3 linked regions of the Lepisosteus oculatus genome follow. The protein of the gene in region 1 interacts with the protein of each later gene in a pairwise test. Links are inferred from orthologs where the notes say so. Each region holds a gene or a part of one and is shown in the gene's direction. Other genes may lie near its edges. The genes, in order: stk16, kctd14 and rpia.

Region 1 (8,087 bases):
AATTATCTTTAATTTTATTCAGTTTGTACTGCTGCACCTGCAAAAGTTACTGAAATACAACAAAGACATCAGTATACATTTTTGGCATATAAAAATAATTACAGCTACTCTTCTCAAAACAATTTACAGCACTGATTGAATTTTCCTAGCATTCTATAGCAACATATTTATTACTATTAATAAGAAGAGACTTGATTCATGTATTCAGAATCTCCAAATGTACTGACAAAGTTAACCCGATGAACAGTGAAACAAGAAACTAGAGAAAACAGATGGAAAATAATAACTTTAATATGAGAATAGAAGGCACTTCTGTACACAAATTGTTGTGGGAGTCTGGAACAACCTACCCAGCTTGTTGTTCAAGCCGATACCCTGGCTTCTATTAATTAACTACTAGCAAACATCCTCTCAGCCTTTTTAATGTTATCATACCTTTGTTTTCCTACTACGTAAAACAGCTGGCCATAGGTTTGGACTTCTAACTCTGATTCCAACACTGTTACCAGGCCTGCCAACATGCCAAAAGAAAATCCTATGTGTATTTTAAAACAGGAAGTGAAAAGATTTTACTCTTTTTGTCAGGAAACCAATTGGTAGAATTGGAGGATCCTGAAAGGAAAGGGATATGGTTGGATAATTGGTTCAGAAGTGAGAATTTGTGGAATCTGGTGCGTGTGGGAATGTGATGGGTTCAATTAGGAATAATAATAATTGCTTACACTTATATAGCACTTTTCTGGACACTCCACTCAAAGCGCTTTACAGGTAAAGGGGACTCCCCTCCACCACCACCAATGTGCAGCCCCCACCTGGATGATGCGACGGCAGCCATAGTGCGCCAGAACGCTCACCACACACCAGCTATCAGTGGGGAGGAGAACAGAGTAATGAAGCCAGTTCATAGAGGGGGATTATTAGGAGGCCTTGATTGGTAAGTGCTAGGGGGAAATTTGGCAAGAAAGCCGGGGTTACACCCCTACTCTTTTCGAGAAACACCCTGCGATTTTTAACGACCACAGAGAGTCAGGACCTCAGTTTTACATCTCATCTGAAGGACGGTGCCTGTTTTACAGTGTAGTGTCCCCGTCACTATACTGGGGCATCAGGACCCACATGGACCGCAGGGTGAGCGCCCCCTGGTGGCCCCACTAGCACCTCTTCCAGCAGCAACCTTAGTTTTTCCCAGGAGGTCTCCCATCCAGGTACTGACCAGGCTCACACCTGCTGAGCTTCAGTGGGTTGCCTGTTGTGAGTTGCAGGGTGATATGGCTGCTTGGCTTGGAATGAGATTGTGAAACAGTGGGTTTGGGAACGCAGCGCCGTTTGCGAAGGAGAGTGTGAGACGTGACACTTTTCCTTCTTTTTCTTTTTCCGAAAATCACAGGGTTGGTCACAACAAGCTGAGAAGTAAAACACACACAATTGCTGATTCCAAATCACAAGGGTACCTCAAAAGAGTCTAGATTTGTATGAATAAATCCCAGTTGAAGAGTTTCTTTACCTTGAGAAGGCCACTTGTGGCTGTGGTCTTTGAAGAGCCCAAAGTCCCTGTGGACCCTGGCTGCTGTGATTCCTCTCCAGTCACATCCATGGGCAGGCTGTCGGCCCTCTGTCTCTGATGCTGCGCTAACTCACTTCTGCTTGTAAGAAACTGAGATGTGTGGGAAAGCCCTCAGAGAACAGCAAAAATCAAATCCGCTACTTCAGAACAGGACTTCTTAAAAGGCTAGTGGAGGACATCAACGTAATATAATATAAACAACTGTATATTAGAAACACAGGCAATGCAGCATTTATTGAAAGCCAGCAGCTCACGGCTTCTGTTGCTAACTGAACAGCTGGTTTAAAAATAAACAAGTGAGTTACAGTACATGATCTGTTCATTCACATTCACCAGTTTAGTTTCCCACCACACAGGACAATAAAAACTTCCCGAAAACATTAACCACAATGAAGTATAATAGTACCATTAATTGTAGTAAAAGAAACCCCTCACTTTAGTAGTTACTTTTAATTTTCTTTTTGCTTCGTGCAATATTATTTCTTTGTGAGACTTTATTGTTTTAACTTTTAGTTGTCCTCTTATTATTCGTTTGTAAGTTTTGAGTCTTCATTTATTTCTTGTACTTGCCTGTGTGTATTTATATTTCATAATTACTGCTAACATTAAAAAGTTCAACTTGGAGAAGAAAGGAGTTTCATTTCAGACTTCCAGACTTAACAATTTCCATTTTTTGTTAACAAATACTGATAGAATGAATCTTACTCACATGTTTATTATTCTTATTCAAGTGTTCGTTACTTGTCCTAAGTTTTTAGTTTTTTTAAATGAAACAACTAAAATTTTAGAATTAATTTGACAATTTCCATTTCATTTATGCTCCAAAATTTTTTAATTGGTGACTTTTCCCATTTTATACTGATACCTTTTTAAATTAAAACTGTTTTATCAATTTAGTCGTATCAAAAATACGTTGTTAATATTGCTCTGTTTTCCGTATTGGACTAAGATAACATTAGATAATCTTAGTATGGAAATACTGACATTCAAAATGGCAAGTATACTGGATTTTCAAAAATGTAGGATTTGATACATTTCAGTTTATATTGAAATGTTTATAATAAAAAAATGTTTATTTCTGTATAGTACTGTATGATTATACATTGTAGAAATTTCCTAAGTACTGTATATAAACTAGCTATGAATTAATTGATGTTTAAGTCTTTTTTTTTGGGGGGGGGGTTCTACCTTTTGTATTTTTTTTTGCTTTGTTAATGCTTGGAATACATGGTGAAAAAGTTTCCATTAACCCTCTTGGTCTCCTTCCCACAGGACGAGGAGACTCGGGCTCCATTCAGACTGACTGAACCAAGGGGCAGCTGCAAAGTGGAAATGGGGTGGGGTAGGGGGTGCTTGTTACAGATAGTCCATTTAGAGCGCTTTACAGGTAATGGGGACTCCCCTCCACCACCACCAATGTGCAGCCCCCACCTGGATGATGCAACAGCAGCCATAGTGCGCCAGTACACTCACCATACACCAGCTATCAGTGGGGAGGAGAGCAGAGTGATGAAGCCAATTCAGAGATGGGGATTATTAGGAGGCCATGATTGGTAAAGGCCAGTGAGAAATTTGGCCAGGATGCCGGGGTTTTCGAGAAACATCCTGGGATTTTTAATGACCCCGGTTTTACGTCTCATCCAAAGGATGGTGGCTTTTTACAGCATAGTGTGCCTAATACTGGGGCATTAGGACCCACACAGACGGCAGGGTGAGCTCCCTTATTGGTCCCCCTAACACCTCTTCCAGCAGCAACCTTAGCTGGTCTTCAATCCAGGTACTAACCAGGCTCACACCTGCTGAGCTTCAGTGGGCTGCCAGTTGTGAGTTGCCGGAGGATATGGCTGCTGGCAGAAAGGGAGGTATTGGAGTTCAGTATATTCAGCCAATTTCTGTAATGATGGTGATTAATTCCAGCTGTGTGAGATTGATTTGTCATTGTTTGCCCTCCTGAACTTCAGTTAATAACTTATATACTGTAAATGAAATGTAATTCTGTAAATACTAATATAATCAATTTCAAAAACAAATATTGTGGTTCTCCAGCCACTATGTTATTTAGTCAGGGACCAGTACTTACAGCACATTTCACCCTTATCTTATCCACTGTATTTTGTAAAGTTTTAGAAAGAAGTAAGACAGTTGTCCATCAAGGAGTAGTTAAATGCCACTGAAGAAACAGAACAAACTGCGGAAAAGTATAGTGACTTAATGTAGCACCACATACAGAATATAGCAGGACACCCACCCACTTTTGACAGGTTTGGCTCATTGTACCCTCACTCATAAAACTCTCCAAACATAACACATTTAAAACATAGAAAAATCAATTGATTAAGCAGCACAGGATTAATTCCTTAACCCCATTTTGCCCGCGCTACAGTCTTCTTAGTTTTGAAATAGCTTTGCTGTAGTATGCAATAATTTAATCTCCGTTTCATACAATGACAATTGTTCATGAATGGGACCATTCGCAAACTGTGCTATGGTTCCAAATGAATTTTGGCTATTAAATATGTTGTAATTATTGAATACTTAATATATTGTATTGTAATTGAATACTCCGTAACTACTATTGAAAATGGATACATTTTCAAAACAATATAAACCGTTTTTGCATAGCCAGATGTTTATTTGGAAACGTGTTGACATAGGATGTCCACAAATATATACTGTCTGAACCTACACGTGCATTCTATCAATAATGGCAAACGCTAACTGGGTTTTAAACAATACAGTACTACGCTTGCCCTCCCCAACATCTCGACAACAGCCATAACCTTTAGAAACTCACAACTGGCAACCCACTAAAGCTCAGCAGGTGTGAGCCTGGTCAGTACCTGGATGGGAGACCTCCTGGGTAAAATTAAGGTTGCTGCTAGAAGAGGTGTTAGTGGGGCCAGCAGGGGGTGCTCACCCTGCGGTCCATGTGGGTCCTAATGCCCCAGTATGGTGATGGGGACGCTACACTGTAAACAGGTGCCGTCCTTCGGATGAGATGTAAAACTGAGGTCCTGACTCTCTGTGGTCGTTAAAAATCCCAGGGCGTTTCTCGAAAAGAGTAGGGGTGTTACCTTGGCCAAATTTCCCATTGGCCCTTACCAATCATGACCTCCTAATAATCCCCATCTATGAACTGGCTTCATTACTCTTCTCTCCTCCCCACTGAGAACTGGTGTGTGGTGAGCGTTCGGGAGCACTATGGCTGCCGTCGCATCATCCAGGTGGGGGCTACACACTGGTGGTGGCGGAGGGGAGTCCCCATTACCTGTAAAGCGCTTTGAATGGAGTGTCCAGAAAAGCGTTATATAAGTGTAAGCAATTATTATTATTATTACTATTAACATGAAATGTGTGAAATGTGTGAATGAGAGTTACTGTGTGTTTAAAACAGAGGCGGGGTCTCTCCAGTCGATGACGCGCTGGCCGCAGGAGGAATTTCTCTACCCGGAAATCATCTGGAGGTGAAGATAAAGCGAGAGAGACGGGAGAGAAACGTTTAAAAGGACGGAGATATAACATTCTGTCCCACGGTAACGTTAGATCCAATGTGTTTTCTTTCGGTGGCGGTCTAAATCATTCACTGCACGAGATTATATCCGACTGGTTATAGATTTAAGTAACAATTCCTCTTCCCGGTAGACCCTGCTGCTGCTACTACAATGTTAGATGCTGTCGCTATGATTTAAAACTGCGATGTACGTGCCACGTTAGCATTAAACCATATAGGTCTTTGCGTTCAGCCCAAAGTGGGATGTTTTATATGCGCACTGTGTAAGTTTTTTTTATTTCAAATGAATGTGCGGAATTTACACCCGTGTCGTAACACGCACGTTCACATAAGTAATATGTCATTTGTTTTTAAATAAGGGCTATGAATTATTCACGATGGAGCGCAACCGATGGGTTCAGTTACAGTTAATGCATAAAAGGGTAGTTTCTTTTAAGCGCCACCTTAATAGAAACGCTACATATTGAAGTTTCTTGTGACATAGAAACCGTGTTTTAAGGAAAAGTTAATTTTTATAGTATTGTTATTTTGGTACTACGTTACTCATTTGTAGTAAAAACCAGCAGGAGACAATCGTGTGCATCAGTCAGCACAGCTCTTGACGCGCTCAAATAACAAATTTGGTTATTTTTAGTCATCGTATTACATGTATATTCATTCAGTACTATTACTGAAATGATTTGAAGAAATAATTTACAAACTTTCAAATATACTAGAAAATGTCACTGTGATCCAGTATTCTATGGATCGTGGATAATGTGTATTCATCACAAACACGAGTCTTGCACCACTCATTTTATACTTTGTTTATTCAGTTAGATATCTCTTTATGCATGTGTTCAGAAAGCCTGGCTATTGGTTGTTAGGTCAGCTCGTCAATAGAAGAGTACTGGTTCACAGTTTGGACTGGCATCATATGTACAGTAACTGCATGTTATTCCAATGCATAAACAGGATGTAGTATTAGTGTTTAGGGAGTGTAGTCTTTATCGGCTAGTCCTGGTCAGGGAGATTCACACAACTGTGTGTTTTTGCTTCAGCCAAGATGAAAGTTACACCATTTAATGTGTAATTGACTTGATAACAGGGTGGATTTGAACTGTGTGACTGTTTTCTGCTTTAAGACCTATTGAAGATAGACATTTAAAGTACTGCATTTTCCTCATTAAGATCAAATCCCAAACAAACTCTTGAGTCTGGGGAGGGGGGAATACTTGTGCGATTGTTACAATCCAGCAGTTTATTCATTCAATAAAGGCTTCTAGGAGGTCATTAAGCTCAACTGGAATGAAGATCGGCAGGTGTGTGAGATTGACCACCCCTGGACTCTACAGCCTGCACCAGCAGTCGGAGCAGCTGTGAAGCAGTGATCCAGGGTAGCCTCCTGACAGTAAACCAAGCTCTTGGGTTTCCAAATGGATTCTTTAATTGACCTAATAACACGATTGATTCAAACCATTTGATTTGTTTTTAGCTCTTTAGTGTGTAGGTGGTTGCCCTTTAACTACTGCATTTCATTGCCATAAAATAAAAAAGTAGAACAACAAAAAGAACTTTGACAGATTGGCAATCGAGTGCCTCGTTAGTTCCGTTAAGTCATTAAGCTCGGCTGGAGGGAAAACCAGGAGGAATGTGTTCTGAGACGGTAGTGGTGAAAGCTTCCTGGAATAGGCATTTTGAGGAAAAACGCCACATCTCTTCAAAATGAACCCCTCTTCTGAGAAGAGGATAAATAGGGATAGCATCCCATATTTTAAACAATTTTAGGTGTTACCTTTTTTGTTAGTTGTCTCTAGTTTAGAAAGCATAAATCTTTTCTTGTCTTGATTTAAATGCCTTTAAAAGAGATGGTCTGCCTTTCGTTTATCCTGTCCTAGCATGCAACTGGTGCAAGGCAGGACACGCCCCGGGCTGGATGCCAGTCCAGTGCAAGGCAGGCAAACAGACGCAGAAGAAGACGTGCACACACTCACGCTAGGGCCTGTTTTAGCTCCAGTATTAATTAATTAACCCTCCAGTATATCTCTGTGGGAGGAAACTGGAGAACATACGAACTCCACACAGATAGCACCGCCGTTTCAGAATTCAACCCAGGGCCCCAGCAATTTGAGGCAGCAATGCTAACCATTGAGCCCCTGTGCCATCCCCAAGAGGAAACTGTCATTTTAAAATATAAGTTTAGATTCCAAAAGAGAGTCCTCTGCCTCTGAAGTCAAGAGGTTGCCCAGGGCTAACATCTGAACTGTGCTGATCAGCTTCGACGTCCTGGCTAGCTGCTCTGCCTGTGTGGTTCGTGAATGTAGCACTCGCTCGAGTAAATTAACACTCTTGAAGCCAGTTTTTCTGCTTTTGCACGAATGATCTAGAACCCATGTGCTCTTTCTTTCCTCAGTGATCAAAGGATGTTACAGGGACCATGGGCCATGCCATGTGTATCTGCTCCAGAGGAACTGTCACCATTGAGAACAAGCGCTATTACTTCATCCAGAAACTAGACGAAGGGTAGGGAGCACCGGCTGGGCTGGGGTCTTCCCTTGGGGCCGTGATAGTGGATCAAACAGAAAAGAGGAACAAAATGGAGGGCAGTGGGTGACGGTTGGAGACCGTTCCCTCTCAGCTATGTCCGTGCGTGCGCGCACACAGGTTATACAACCAGGAAATTAAACTGCACACAAAAAATTAAATTCCCCCTAAAGTCCGATGATAAAACAAACACGGTCATCAATTGAAAAATGCTTAATTGACCACATGAGACAGCAAGAGGTCCAGCTTGGCTGTGTGCGCATTATTATTGCTACTCGATGACCGACATCTATGCTCTCGTAGTCTCGTACCTCCCTGCTCATGCAGGGAGCCAAGCCGACTGGGCTCGGTGAATCACTGTCCTGGTCTTTTGGATCTCTATGCTTCTATGCTTCTATGAGGATGACTATATTAACAAAAAATAATTTCAGGTTGGCAATTTTACATACACTCAATGTAGTGCACGCAAGCTTTTGTCACTGGGGAAAA
Region 2 (8,023 bases), on another chromosome or scaffold:
CATATGGGGGGAAAAGGGTTTATGATTGTTGACGACCTTTGGCTAGATTTCATGTGCGTCTCTTAAACTGTTACCTGATTAGAACAACTTTCAACCAGTAAGAGTTGTTCAGTCAGAAATAATAGCAAGCAGTAGTCAACAGTAACTTTGAACCAAGTGGGGTTTACTAATTGAGACTGCCTGAAGAACCTGGAGACAGTTTAAATAAGCTAGTAGATCAATTAAGTCATCAGCCCCGGAGATTTATAGTTCAGCCGAAATCAAAACCAGCAGACAACATCTTCCTTCAGGACCAGGCTTGGGAACCACTGGTTTAGTACTTTGCTGTTCCTTCAGTGATGATACGATGACGAGTCTGAACAGGACCCATCCTGTCTCTGGTGTCCTGGCTGGGGGCCACGTTCTGTGTCCCTCTGTTCAGGGCCCTGAGCAGAGTGTCCTCATTGTTTGATGACATAGAGGCATTTGTCTGAGAAGGATCTTCTAATTAGAATCAATACATACACATGAACATAGCCTTAAAATCATAAGGTGAAATTGTTTAATTACAGGCTCAATTATGCGATTGGATCCTTTAGAATAAGAATCCACGCCTTTTCTTACATAAATCCATGGGAGTAAATTAGATGAGGTTTTGCTTTATGCTTGCTACATTGTGTAAAAAAAAACTTGTAACATATTCCATTTTTTAATAGAAAACAAGCTCAGTTGTGTTGACTGGGTTTATTTCCTAAGACTTACAGCCAGCTGACTGCACGAAGAGCTGCTGGGCTTGTAAACTGCTGCCTCATGTAGCAAATCCTTTGTCTCACGCTGGTGTAAAGCCGCAAAGGCTTTTTTTTCTTAGACTACTGTAGGTTAGATATAAGTTTAACTTGGATTTGAAGGCTTTTCACTTGTGCACTTGAATGCTGTGTATAGCTGTTTACAATGAGTTTAAGCAGGAAGCGGCTTCAGCATGGGTAGGCTGCAAAGGAGCAAGTAAAAGTATATTCTGTGCTGAAAAGAAACGGTTTCAGGTGCCTGTTTACAACGAGGTTCTGCTATGTCTGTTTTTGGCACATGTGATGGGCACAGACCAGGAATTTCTACTAAAAATGTAAGCAGTGCATTAAAATGCAATGCATTATCTCATTGTAAGGATGTTGGGAACTTCATATGGGCACTTACTCAGGTCATTGAATCATATTGGTAATCCTTTTCATTTGATTTTTTTTAAGTGCTCTTTAGGCAGGTTGCTAACTTTCTAACTTCTAACTGCTGCAATCTTGAAAGAAAGCAGTGAGAGTGCATTTGAAGTCCTAAGCCTCCTTGTGTTCCAGAGCCTGCTACGGTGTGCTGCGGTTCATCATGGAGAGTGGTGCAAAGGGCTGTGAGGTGGTGGTGTCTGGGAAGCTCAGAGGCCAGAGAGCCAAGTCCATGAAGTTTGTCGATGGGCTGATGATCCACAGTGGTGACCCTGTCAACTACTACGTTGACACAGCTGTCCGCCACGTCCTGCTTAGACAGGGTATGTACAGCAGTAGATCTTGCCATCTAATGTAGTTGACCCGTAGTACGGTCAAGTCTATTCTCTAGTCATTAGTTTGCTATACTTATGATTTCTTCCCTGGCTTTATGCATGTCTGTGATATTCTGTTAGACGCCACCCTGGGCTGGGGCTAGTCCCTTCAGTGATGATACGATGACGAGTCTGAACAGGACACAGCCTGTCTCTGGTGTTCTGACTCCTGGCCACGTTCTGTGTCCTTGAGTTCAGGCGCCTAGGCAGAGTGTCCTTACTGTTTGATGACATAGAGGCATTTGTCTGAGAAGGGCTTAAGTTTGTCACAAGATTTTGTTTTATTTGTAAATGGCAATTTGTATTTTTGGCTTTTGCATGCACCAGCAGGTACCACACTTCTCTTGAGAGCATCATCCAAACCAGTGTCCCAGGGACACTGTGCATGTTTGGTATGATTAAAACCAAGTTCTTGACTGCTTGGTCATTAAGTATCACATGCGATCATTTTAAAAACTAGAGCATTAACCCGACTGTCCTTGCTAAATTCTGATCTGGAATATACACTGACACCCCCCTTTAATTCAATTAGTGAAGCAATTCCTCATTTCTCCCAATCTGTGATGTGGGCTGCTGTTGCCGTGCTTTGCCCAGGTGGTGCTGCAGTCCAGAGATGGTTAAAAGGGGTCCCTACCTGTGGGAAATGGAACGAACTTTGATTTATTTTCCCCCCTTAGATAACTTAGTAATATTAAAACCTGGAAAACTACTAAGAAAAATGAATAATGAAATATGCACTTTACACTGCTGTAAAAACCTCAGGTTTGATGTGCATGTGGAAATGATGCTTTTACCTAGTGTATCTCATTCATGGACAGTATGTTAAAAAATATTGAAACATGCTTTGTACGTAGTAATTTTGAAATGTAGCTTTAGAGAAAAAACATAAATCTATTAAATCTTACTGAAAGGTATGTTTAATTACATCAAATATGATAGTTTTTTATTGGGAATTATGCTGTGTGCGTTTTGGGTTACCAGAAAGACCTGTTTCCTGTTGTTTCCTGCTAACATGCTCTGCATTGTATATCCCCCACCATGTTCATTCTCCTCTGAGTGACCTGTTACCTGTACTCTCTGTCTCCAGGTGTGCTGGGTATCAAGGTCAAGATCATGTTGCCTTGGGATCCCACCGGCAAGATCGGCCCCAAGAAGCCCCTTCCCGACCACGTCAGCATCGTGGAGCCCAAGGATGAGGTCCTGCCTACCACCCCCATTTCTGAGCAGAAGGGTGCCAAGCCCGAGGCCCCCGTTATGCCTCAGGCGGGTCCTGTTGCCACAGCATAAAGGTAAGAAGGGTCATGATCTGGGCCTCAAGTTTTACCTCCTGCACTCCTGCAACGCATCTTTTCTGCAAACTCTTGGAAGTGTTGAAGTTATGTGCTGAATGGCCTTTGCCCCTTAAATATTGCACCTTCACCTGCCTCTGAACTTGGTGTCCTAGGGGTCCATGTGTATACGCCCCTTGCTGGCGACTTTTTAGTGAACTCCCTTCAGTGATGATACGATGACGAGTCCGAATAGGACCCATCCTGTCTCTTGTGTCCTGGCTGGGGGCCACGTTCTGTGTCCCCGAGTGCAGGGCCCTGAGCAGAGTGTCCTTATTGTTTGATGACATAGAGGCATTTGTCTGAGAAGGGTCTTGACAATTCATTATTACCTATTGCCTTAAGTGCACCAGCATCTTTAGGGTGTTTGGCTTGTTTCGAGTTGCTGCCTTATCCAATATTATAACACTCTGTAATATCGATTTGTCACTCATAGTTTTTTTTATTCCTTTGCAGGTATCCACTGACATCTGGAGATGGAAGTTTGTGGACAATTTCTGTAAAAATTTCAATAAAACAGTAAAAGACATGTCCCAGGTTCTGTCTTTTGTTGTGGGGTAGTATAAGAAAACTGTGCTTTAGTCATTCGGTGGCACAGAAGTGGTGGTGTTTTTTGTTAAGGAATGGGGTGACATTTATAACATTTTTTAAGGTGGCTAAATATAAAAGCTACATGATGCAAATGTAACAGATGTAAAGTAAATTGGTCATAACTTTTTGTACTCGTGCTACATACTTGCTGTTAATTTACCACTTCATTCAGCTGGAACAAGTATTTTGAGAGGAGATTCTGGGTGTCGGAAAAAGAACTGGAGGGGCATTCTTTCAGTGAGGCCTGCAGCAAACCCCTGCTGACCAGTTTTGCTCTGAACCTTCACATCTCCTTCACACACTGAGCTCTGCTGGGATACCTCTGTGCAGAACTGGCATTGTTTGGGTCTCTGTTTCTTAAATGAGATGCAGGTCCTGTACATTACAGGGCTCATTTGAAGTTGAACGATAAATGCTAAATCCTTCTGAAAAATCGATATGTTCCTCACAAAATTACTTGGGGGGGTGCTGAGCCCGACAGTATTTGGTGCCAAAAGAAAGATACTGAGGTTGGAGATGTGACAAAGCAAGCTCTTATGCATAGAACAATATAGTGGTCTTGTATGGATGTTGAAATAGTTAAACCAAATACGCACGGAAATAACACTAGTGATTTTTAAATGTATTAGTGAAAAGCCATTTATGTAGGCTGTATGGAAACACTTCTGACTGGGGATACAATATATGGCATGTGTGTCCACTGACTACGTGTATCGTCTTGAATAAGGGAAGGAAGAATGCACTTACTGGCCTGTTATCCAGGTCATTAAAAAGTGAAACCACTGTTCCCGGGGTTTTCTTGACAAACACGGGCAAGTGATTCAGCTTTCAGTATCTAGGCGTTGGCATAAATACCCCATGATACGAAGTGAAAACTATCAGCTCATTGATTTGCTCAAACCCAGTGTAAATATCTTATGAGAGGTTATAGTGTTAGTTGATCTGTATCTGCACAATACGCCCTTTTGCAAATAGTTTGTTACAACTAAATTACGGCTTTGTAAAAATATTTCGTGACGAGTTAGTCCCGGACGACTTAGTGAAAATGATGCTTTTTTTTAACTTCAGTTCACAATTATCCTTCACTCGGTACATCACCCTTAATTCATTATGAATATTTTAAAAGGGCAAGAACAGCGAAGTATGTCGCTTTTAATCCAGATAAACTAGAATCAAAATTACTTACACCAAATATATTTAATATATTTGATCATACAAAAATATTTCATGACACGCGTACCTAAATGTTTTTTAGATAAATGCGTACTTTGAAACCATATGTTAGCTGGCCTGGTATTTTAATAATTGACGTTCAGAAGTAACTACTGAGTACGTGGTTTTAAGATTTAGAGCCTCTAACTGCGTTACTTTCAGCGAAGAAATAGGAACTGTTTTTTTCTTTGTTTGTTTTCAAGTTGGTAAAGGTTTATTAACTTTACCCTGATTCTGTATATTGATATTTTAACAGTAAAGCGCTGGTTCTTTAAATGTTCGACAACGTGGTTAATTTTCGAGGAGTGGTTTCGGCAAAAGTTTGTAGACCACACCCTCCTCGGTGAAGCTATAATCCCCTTGTCCTAAAGGAACTCCGGAATCAAGTAGAAGACAGGTTCATGTAGTCGCAGTTCGACACAAAAAATGAATCAATCCGAATATAAATCTCCAGGAAAGCAATGTACCACCAATTTGCAGTTGGTAAGTTTTGAACAGAATGGTTCGTATTTAGACCAGGTTATTTTTGGAAGAATTGATAGAACAATGCTAGTTTACCGTTTGTTGTCTCGGAAATGTTAATGCTCAGTTTAGGAACACAGTAAGGAAATTTGTAGGTACTAAGAAACAACCGTCTTTTCCCCTTGTTGTACGGAGACGTCTCGTACTACAATAACTTTCAAAACTTAACATGAAAACATACTTAACATACGGTTTTTTTTCCCGGTTTCACTAACCAGTTTTTACAAGTTAGAAAAATAAGGTTTTATATGTGTGAACAGCGCTCGCGTAAAGAAATGAAAGTGTATCGATGGTAAGAGACGTCGCACTGTGACTTTTCTCTTTTTTGCGTCATTCATCAAATTACAGGGTATGTATGTCGTAGTAACTAGTGCGACTTTGCAATGTATGCTGCTCGTCTCGCAGTCTCAGTTTGTGGGACTCCCCTCGCATTTGTTTTTTAAATTGGGCCCTCTGAGGTGATTAATAGCATAAATTGCTTTACTGATTTAGTACGTGGAGAAATTGTGTTGGAAGGCGCTTTGCATTATATGTATTAGTACTTTTGATATTTGCATACTCTTACAGTACAAGTGCGTTTTTTTTATATTGACCCGATTTGTACCCTAATAAAACTGGCCGTGTTTCAGCAGCTCCCAAGTGAAAGGGGAATATGTTGCATAACCTATGGTTTACCGAGACAACCTAAAGAAGAACAGAACAAATAAGAATGTTGAGATGACTAAGAGCTCGAGCTCCTATCCAATAATTAACTCGGGTTGAATTACATACAGGTAACTAAATATACCCACCTTAGTTTTACATATTATTCTTTCCCTGGAATTTTGTCAGTAAACGAATGCATGTATAAGTGTATGAGAGAGACTTGAATGTAAATCAATTTAATACTTTGGTACTACACAGAATAGATTTTTGTTTCAGATTGTCCAAGTTGGTCTCGAATTGGATAAAAAAAAAAATACATGCTTTTACCAGCCCCGGTGTGTAGAAGGGGCACCTGTCCTTATTTTGTTTTCCTCTTTCTTCTGGATTCCCAGCATTCACCCGTTGTGCAGCTCAACGTTGGTGGCCGGCTGTACAGCACATCGCTGGGCACCCTGCGGAGGTTCCCCAGCTCGAAGCTGGCCGAGATGTTTAACGGGCAGCCCAAGCTCAGGACGGACGCCGAGGGACGCTACTTCATTGACCGCGATGGGACGCACTTCAGACACGTCCTGGAGTTCCTCCGCACCCAGCGGCTGCCCACCGAGAACGTGCCGGAAGTCTACAAGGAAGCCCTCTTCTACGACATCGAGCCCTTAGCCAAGCAGCTGGAGGACTCGCCGCAGATATTTGGGGAGGTGGTGGGCAGGCAGCAGTTCCTGGCCAGGGTGCCCAACTACCGGGAGAACCTGGAGGTGATCATCAGGATAGCGCGGGCGGAGGCCATGGCCGCTCGCCACTCCAGCGTCATCGTGAGCGTCTTGAGGACGGAGGAGGACTCTGCGCGGTACAACGACGCCATCAACAGCCTGGATGCCGATAAAGAATCGGTGGTGAGGTTCGGCCCTTGGAAAGCATCGCCTACCGCCATGGACCTGCTGGACTGTGTCAAAATGGACATCGAGGCCAAAGGCTACAAGATCAGTTACCAGCAGCACGTTGCGGACAAGGGATTCCGTTTCAAAAGCTACGACTTCTTCTACAAATTCATATTCACTTGGTGGTAGTGCCAGCTAACGGTACACTCAATATTAGCCTCTTGATGAATTCTTGGCACCTGAGTTGCTTTTGCAGATCACCTTGTTGGTCTGGCCTTCGACATTTTCTGTTCAGGTTAAGCCTGGATAGTGGCTGAAATTTAACTTGCCCCTGGACGTCCAGATCAGCATTTTAGCAGAAAAGGAAAAAGCAAAAACAAGACTGAGTAACAAGGAGAAATTTGTCAACTCATATTTTTGCATTTCTTTATTGGTTCATCATGTGATGTTACCAAAAAATCAATTTGCTTAGTCCATGGATTTCAACATTTGGATGATTGACAGCTTACTTTTCCCTCTTCTTTGACTTATCTCCTACTCCGAGTTCTGGACAACCTCTTCTTTTTGCAGGGAGTTGTTTTAAAGAAGTAGTTTCTATAGAAGGGAACAAATGACTTTTTTTCTATTGACTGTGATTGTTATCTATATGATTGTTGTAGAGCTATATTATGTTAATGTTCTATGTTTAATCAGTGACAAATTATTAATTGTGAAATGAGTGTATATAAACATAAAGACTAGATATTTTTTTACAAGATTCTTTTCTTTGTCCTTTGAATAAAATCAACAGAAACTCTTAGTCAGTTGCCACTTGTCTTTATCTGGTAAGTTGTAATGGTCATTTTTTTTTTTTTAATGGAGTACAATAAATGTGTTCAGAAAGAGTACGAAAATCGATCTGTTGCCTTGAACAGAAAATGACCCGGGTAGCTTAGCGCCTGTACAGAATGCATTTGCATTTTAATACAAACCAGGATGTCATAAATTGGGTCAATTTTGACACCCCCCATTGGTGAAGAGTCTATATCCGTGCCTCTGATAGATGTCACAACCACTCACCGCTCAAGATGACATGACTTAAGGGAATTGCTCTCTTGTACTATACATCTCTGGCCGCTTGGCAGAAAAAAAGACTAATGTGACCACCATAGCCCAACCTGCCACTGAACCAACTTCATCACTTCAAGCCATTGCCAGACTGAGAGAGACTACGTCAGCAGCCATATCACCCTGCAACTCACTAAGGTTGCTGCTGGAAGAGGTGTTAGTGGGGCCAGCAGGGGGCGCTC
Region 3 (7,608 bases), on another chromosome or scaffold:
ACACTTTCCACTGCATAGCTCCTTCTAGTTCAGTCCCACCCATTTGATATTTCACTTTTTTTCTTTTTCTGCCTATCTGTAATAGTTGTGTTTGTCCATGTGATCACATTAGATTGAATTTGCCAGGAATCTCCCCTGATCTGAACTCTGTTTAGTGTTTTGCCTTGCTTGTGTGGTGTGAAAAATCAGAGGTCTCTGTCCCCTGTCCTAACCGGTACCTGTACACTGACAGATACTGTTGCTGCTGCCCCGACTGCTCCAGGGTGGGCCGTGGTCTTGGTGCCTTTTGTGATCCTGATGCAAGTGGGCTGGCTGTAGAGTGAGACTGCACAGGAGTCTGGTGGGTATTTGATGTGCACTCATTGATACTGCACCACTATATACAGTATAGGAAGGGTACAGAGTGGTGTCCATACAAGGATTTTATATGACGCTTACACACAGCAGTTTTTTAATGATTTTTCAGAACAGATCACTCCGAATAAATGAACTGCATTTTAATTTTGGAAAGAAGACCAGTCCAATTGAGAGATTGAAAGCAGATCCCTGGCACTGCAGGGCAGCTTGTCACTTCCTCACTGACAGCACTGTCAGAGAGCAGACATGATGCCACATGTACAGCTGAATGTAAATTGCAATTGTCACATGATCAGCTAGGTCTTTGCCATATTTTCATAAGAGGTCGTGCGCATTAAGCGCAATGAGCAGAGGCGGTTTAGTGCAACACATACGAAGAGCCAGTTACTGTGAAGCAAGACCCTTTTGAATCCCACATGTCCAGAAATGGTGATTTTGCTGTACTGTACACTGCTGGTTTTAGGGTCTGAAGGCAACATTGTTTTAAACCTTTGGCCGCCACATGCCAGTTACCGCTGTGATTCCTCCTGCTTAAAACCTCCAAAACCAGGAGGATGCAGTCTTCCAGGCTCATGGTCTGACTGTGCTCGCAGCACTTAGACTACAGTAACAGGGATGGGGTTAAAGGGGAACTGCAAGGCTGTTTTATACAGTATTTCAGTAAAGCACTGATGAGTTAATTTCATCACAATAAAAGTAAAATGTATAGAGTAACTTCTGAAGAGCATTGTAAACAAGCAAACTTGTGAATACATCTCTTCTAATCCAATAGAAATATCGCTCTCCATTGTAGACCAATACTACTAGTTAACTCCACATGCAGAACACATTGGAACACTCCGCAGTGAAATGTCTGCTGCACAACAACATGTCGCTCATACATAACATCACATTAGTCATTACGGAGACTGGTGAGCAGGAAGGACCACTTCACGTTGCAATTCATGGGCAATCAAATGCAAGTCGGCAACAACATGACAACTTGTAGTACTTTCACAAAGTTCATGCTTATTTCGAAATTTGTGATATTTTTCTACAACGTCAATGACGTTATTTTGTTACCAAGGTTTAATAACCGATCTGAGAATTAGGGATTGCAGTTCTCCTTTAAATATTCACTACTTAACACACTGCATGTGCAACAGAAAAGCATGGTAACTCTACTGTAGCATATACTGTACAGTTTTAGCCCCCATGCTGGTTTTTATAGTCCTCCTCACAATATGCTATAATCTTTGCATGTTGAGTACTGATGTGACGGTGTAGCCTAATCAGCTTTCCCATGCACTCACCCCAGGGTGGAGGGACAGTGTCTGCATGACAGATCATCTGTGCTGGACATTACTGGGACAAGATGAAGGACCCTCATTCTCTGCTTCATGCAATGGCTTTGGTTTGCATATGGATTTCTAGTAGTGCCTTGTATTCTTATTAGGCTATCCTGAACTCTGTAAAGTGCTAGTAGTTCAGGTGGGTAGCTGCGTCAGCATGCGTAGGCTGCAAAGGAACAAGTAATAGGTTTATTCCATGCTGAAAAAAAGAAGAAAGAGAACACAACGTTTCGGCCGTGGAGCCTTCTTCAGGTGTCACACCTTCACACCTGAAGAAGGCTCCACGGCCGAAACGTGGTGTTCTCTTTCTTCTTTTTTTCAGCATGGAATAAACCTATTACTTGTTCCTCTGTAAAGTGCTGGCAGTTTGCTCTTCATCACAGTTTTCCTCCTCACTGTGGAGGTGGGGATTTAGTTCATAACCTCAGGTGCTCAGATCTCAGATCTCAGGTGCTGTCCATCACGTGTGGGAGCTGGAGACAGGAAGCTTTCTAAACCCGGTCACCCCTGGAGTTGAACATTCACAGGCTACTGTGGCACAGTCTGTGCAACTCCAACCCACTTTGGCTGCAGACACTCACAGGAGTGCGCTCAGCGGATTAGTAATGAAAACTCACGAGAATTTATTTGGAAAATTTAAGATGTTACTTAAATTGCAGTAAGGCTTTGCCCCACAAAACAAAGCATTTTTCATCAGCATAAGACCAGCTGAAAGACTGCCAAATGGGCTGAATGGTTTGCAATTTTTCTTAAGCAAGCAGGCCAGTCAGCTGATCTGGTTAATTTACTTGCCCCACCAGACCCTCTAGCGTGCTATGGACAGTCCCTCACACATTTAAATCATATAACCTATATTTATAATATACATGTTTATTCTGAAAATACAGATTGTATACATAAACACCTCAGAAGAAAACATAATGAAACATCTTCAATCAGTGACAGTCTCACTGCTGTGCCTGTACCAGGCCAGGAGTGGGCGCCAGCACCAGGCTGGGCTGTGTGTCTTTGCAGTTTCTGTGTGGTTACAGGCTTGGACACACAGGTTGAGACAGGTCAGTGTAACAGCACAGGAGTCCATGGTCTTTGAGATCAGACTGGACCAGGACAGCAGACCAGGCTGAGCTCCCAGCTCCTGTGTGCTGGGTCACTGAATAGATGCTGTACTGTCACAGATAAGAAAGTACCATGAACATACAGTATGATGACTAATTATTTCATTTAATCTTAGTGCCTATATGTTATGTATATACACATCATGTATATACACATTATTAAATAAATACTATATCAGTCAAATAAGTAGCTCAACAATTGCATCATGAGTTTGTTATAGTAAGTACTTTAAGTAAAACTGTGATGACATTTGCATTAGCTGTACTGTTGCCCAGACCTGAGACACTGGGAGACAATACGTGGAAGCTGGCTAACCAGTCTGCTAAAAATAGTAAAAATAATGCTGTCCTAATTTCAGATGGACACACACACAAACATAATAACAAAAATAATGATGATGACAATGATGATGATGATGATGATGATGATGCCAAGCACATCTATCCAGGCAAGGTATGTATTGAGGGCTTGAGTTTCTAAGCTGGAGGGGGACACAGGCAGGAGTCTCAGGAGCAGGGGCTGTGACCCCTGAACACCAGCACTGCACTGCCTGGCACTGGCTGTGTGTTCTGTGCAAGAACTCCATCTGACCAGTCAGTCCATCAGCACCCCTCCGGCTGAACTCACTGAACAAACCTCCCTTCCCCGTGTCTCTGTTCTGGGCTGTGATTAGACCAGGATATGTTTACAACGCTATTATAACTCAGCATGGGTGTTTCTTGGTCTTTATTCTTTTCTTATATATTAGAATATAAAAACCTGGAACTTTAGATAATTTTATAAATTATTAGTAAACTGAGTTTCTGAGACGTGGAGGCTTCACAAACAGGTTTATTGACTCTTTATTGCTCTGCCTCTCCATGCACCCCCATCCTGTGGAGATGGGTTCTGTTCCGACCCACTCCAGTCATTTTATTGCATTTTAAGAATATCTGGATATTTTGGAAAGAGTGTTTTTCTTGTTTTGCCTGCTATGCCTGTAATAAACGCTGTGCATCTTACTGACAATAACATTACCGGCAACAATAAAATGGTCTGAAGAATGTTGGCTATTTTCTGTGACCCCTGGAAAGTTTCACATTTAGTTTTTTTTTCCTTGATAACGTACTGTAGGTTTAAGGATTAACAATTGTTACCACTCTTTCCTAGTTCTATACACCACCTTACATGATGAATCAATGTCTCTATGGTGCAACACAATAGTACTGGAAAAACAACAAACGTCTCCAACAAATAATATAGTAGAACAGTGTTATAGGAGATAAGATTTGTTTTACATGTTTTAGAAAGCAATTGCATATAGAATGAAAGATTTCCTGCTAGAGTTTCCATTACCCCTGGGGACACAGATAGGAGTAGTGTAAATTCATAATGGAGAGAGTGAGCCACACTCTCCGTAAAGTTCTTGGCATTTTTTGGAACCTACTTTTTTATAGAGGACGTCTAGGTTTTTTTTTAATTTGCTTAATCAATTCCATTCAAGCTGAATGCAGCAAACCCGTAAATCTCAATTTACAGACTTCAAAATACGCAAACTGTTCGCGTACACTCATACAAGCAACATTTGACTCTGTACAAAAGAGTTAAATATGAACACCGTGCGACCGGTATGCACTGCATTTTGGGAAGTGTAGTTCACATTGGGACCAACCCACTCGTAACTCGACCGTTCAGCAAATTTAAAAAACTACTATTACCGGCTCGGGTTGCGTTGCAGACAACTGCCGATTTTTTTTTTTGCACGACTTCCTGAGGTAGTGGAGGCCGGCGAGGCAAGGGGGCTGGATTATGAGGTTACAAAGGGAAATCTGTGAGACTCTCGCAGCTGGCTTTCTGGGGAGGCCGGGGAGTCTTGGCAGGAAGATATTCGCCGAGGGACACGTGTTTTCGTGTAGGCGCTTCTGCTGCGGGAGGAGAACCATGGCTGAAAATGCAAAGAAGCTGGCCGGCTATGCTGCCGTGGACAATCACGTGCAGGTAAAGACTATGAATGACTCCGGTAATACCTGTGCATTTCTTCTAATTGACAGATCGCTGCAGGAGGGACGTGCGCTGTGTTTTAATGAAGTGCACAGCACTTAGCAGAGCTACATACCCGAGGTTTAGCAGCGGCGCTCTTTGCACAGAGCTGTTGCACGGGGTGGTTGTGCAGGATTGATCACTGTATAATTAAATTAACCCCCCTCCTGAGTCACAAGACGTCGGCTCAGCTTGAGGGCTCAGAATTATATCTGCTGCATTGAACCTATTGTGCCTCGTCATGGTGAAGAAAGCTCGTTATTGGAGTCTCCCTCGTGTCAATAAAATTTCGTATGCTAGTTTTGTTCATATATTAAACTTCATGAGTAAGCTTCTTGATCACGTACAACCTGGTCTTCCGTTCCAAATTAGGTTTCAGTCTTTAACCCTCATTTAGCAGTTAACAACATGATTCCGTAGTTTAACAGGGTGATTAGCTTACCCTCCAGATGCCTGACCCGTAAAGTTGATCAGTGTACAGCAGCAGCAGGTTTCGCAACTATGCAGTGTTTGCAGAAAGCAAATACAGTTTTTTTTCCCTTCTGTTGCAGTGGGAGTTTGCAAAAAAAAAAGGCAGTATATTGTCTTTTAGCCCCGTACTTGTGTTTTGAAAGAGCACGTGTTCTGGCCCGCAGGAGCCCCTGGTCCGAGGGCAGGTGTCAGCTGAGCTGCAGACCCTGACGCAGCTGGGACTCTTCCCTGCGGTCAGCAGCAGCAGAATACACGCTCTCGTGCGCGCGGTACCTGGTTTTCGTCGAAACCTTGTAGCCGATTACTGCAGAGCTCGGTCATTTCTGCAAGCCGCCCAATGTCCTACCAATACTGCATTGCTGTTTTTGTCACAGGGATGCATTTTCAAGCGCAAGTCAAGTTACTTAATAGACGATTTTGGGGACCAAATGTCATGTTTGTGAATGTTATCACTGATCAGTAACATACTGCTACAAGAGAGAATCCATAAACTGTGCGTTTGCAATAAATACGGATAATATGCGTCATCCGAGTGGGAAAAGCGAGGTGTTGACAGATTCACTCTTCCAAAGGCCTGCATGGGAGCTCTGTTATCAGAGAGTGTCTCAGACTGGGTGTGAATTGGATGCTGTAAACACACTGTTGTGGGGCAACATTTGTGGTCAGTTTTACCCACAACAGTTCTTCCTGTTTTTGATTACTAGACATACAGACAGATGCAATGCAAGAGCCACTTAATGCAAATGTTAATAATAATAATAATAATAATAATAATAATAATAATAATAATAATTTTGGCATTTATATAGCATGTTTCATCTCAAAGTGCTTTACCTAGGAGGGGACCCTATTCATTCACCACTGAAGTGCATTGTTCCCAGTCACCAAAGAGGTTCCACCTACTGGTCCACCGACACCACTTACAGCAGCATTCATAGATCGTGAGCACCTAATCAACAAACAAGCTCGATGGGCCAAATGGCCTCTCCTCATTTAAAATCTGTATTTTCTTCATCTTTTTAACCTGATTTTCCGCAGAGGTCTCCTATCCCAGTACTGACCAGGCCAAGCCCTGCTGGGCTCCTGAGCCCTGGTGAGATGGGGCTGCAGCATAGTGTACAGTGGAGGTAGAAGGGGCTGTTGCAAAGGGGAAAAGGTTTTACAGCTCTGAATGTGAAAGGAAATGAATAAAGACAGCAGTTGCACGTAGTCACCTCCCCCCCTTGAAGAGTCGGCCCCTCTCTGTCGTGCCCAGTAGTTAGTGGTGCAGGTAGATGCTGCCCCCTGGAAGATCTTGTCTCCGAACTTTCTTCATCTGCAGCTGGACTGAGACAGGAAATCCAGCCGTGTGACTGAGATAGAAGTACAGGTGTGATTGTGAGACCCTGTGCAGGCCAGAGGAGACCTCTTCTTTAAACAGCTGCCGTCTGCTTGTCTGGAGCTCTGATGCAGTTAGTGAGCTGGTGTGTCCACACTTCAGGACATGCTTTAGATCAGAAAGGCACCAAGAGGAGCAAGAAGCACGTGACCTTTCCTCTTGTTGCTCTTAACCCTCAGAACAACCATGCTGTTGGTGTGGGCAGTGGCACCACTGTCGTCTACGCTGTGGACAGGCTGGGTGAGTGTCCCTCTCTCCTTTTTTCCTTCACCTCCTGGTACCTTCCCCCTGTTGTCTGAAGCAGGAAGATTCCAGCTGCACACACGTGGCTTGGAGCAGACGGTTCTTCTTCTTTGTCCTTTTCCTGGCTGGGCAGTAGTTAAATGCTGGTGTTGCTCAGTTCTGGTGGGAACCTGTAAGGGCCAGTCTCAGGATGCTGACAGATACTCTGCTTGTGTGTTTTCCAGCGGAAAGAGTGCGACAGGAGAAGCTGAACATCGTCTGTGTCCCAACATCCTTCCAGGTCAGTGTGTCGGCCTGCCCGTCATGAAGAGAGGGAGCGAGTTCAGCGAAAGTGTGAATTCCATAGTACCATAGTTGGAGAACCACTGCATTAGATAATTGCCTATGAAGTTAACAAGTTGTAAGTTTGTGCTCTGTGCAGCCTTGTGTGTAGATGGACCTGGATGCACCTGGAGATGGGGTTCCCCTAGCTCTGTCAACTCTTTTCTCTCTCCTGTTTTCAGGCCCGTCAGCTGATTCTACAGAATGGTTTGACCCTGACTGACCTTGACCGGCACCCTGAGGTACTTTTCACAGTGATGGGGGACAGCTGCACCACAGCAGGAACCAAAGAGAATCCTAAAACTCGTTTTAAAAGTTCACACACATCACAAGGATGATCTGATATATGATCAGTGAAATAATTGACTTTGG

Evidence for each region.
Region 2: the proteins of stk16 (region 1) and kctd14 interact in binary tests that used the Homo sapiens proteins (3 or more experiments, as listed by UniProt). The link is inferred for Lepisosteus oculatus from reciprocal best matches to the Homo sapiens genes STK16 and KCTD14.
Region 3: the proteins of stk16 (region 1) and rpia interact in binary tests that used the Homo sapiens proteins (3 or more experiments, as listed by UniProt). The two-hybrid records come from large-scale screens. The link is inferred for Lepisosteus oculatus from reciprocal best matches to the Homo sapiens genes STK16 and RPIA.

Annotation. Positions count from the first base shown.
Region 1 is NC_090707.1:32,206,060-32,214,146, reverse strand, and holds the start of stk16 (serine/threonine-protein kinase 16), read left to right. Parts: upstream 1-4,988; 5' UTR 4,989-5,097; intron 5,098-7,467; 5' UTR 7,468-7,491; coding exon 7,492-7,577; intron 7,578-8,087. Other genes in the region: uncharacterized protein c2cd6, read right to left, coding at 1,505-1,594. UniProt on the Homo sapiens protein: Membrane-associated protein kinase that phosphorylates on serine and threonine residues. In vitro substrates include DRG1, ENO1 and EIF4EBP1. Also autophosphorylates. May be involved in secretory vesicle trafficking or intracellular signaling.
Region 2 is NC_090700.1:9,860,693-9,868,715, forward strand, and holds kctd14 (BTB/POZ domain-containing protein KCTD14), read left to right. Parts: upstream 1-4,947; 5' UTR 4,948-5,118; coding exon 5,119-5,175; intron 5,176-6,251; coding exon 6,252-6,923; 3' UTR 6,924-7,533; downstream 7,534-8,023. Other genes in the region: rps3 (small ribosomal subunit protein uS3), read left to right, coding at 1,323-1,510, 2,649-2,848.
Region 3 is NC_090696.1:29,001,105-29,008,712, reverse strand, and holds the start of rpia (ribose-5-phosphate isomerase), read left to right. Parts: upstream 1-4,536; 5' UTR 4,537-4,592; coding exon 4,593-4,781; intron 4,782-6,851; coding exon 6,852-6,912; intron 6,913-7,139; coding exon 7,140-7,195; intron 7,196-7,418; coding exon 7,419-7,478; intron 7,479-7,608. UniProt on the Homo sapiens protein: Catalyzes the reversible conversion of ribose-5-phosphate to ribulose 5-phosphate and participates in the first step of the non-oxidative branch of the pentose phosphate pathway.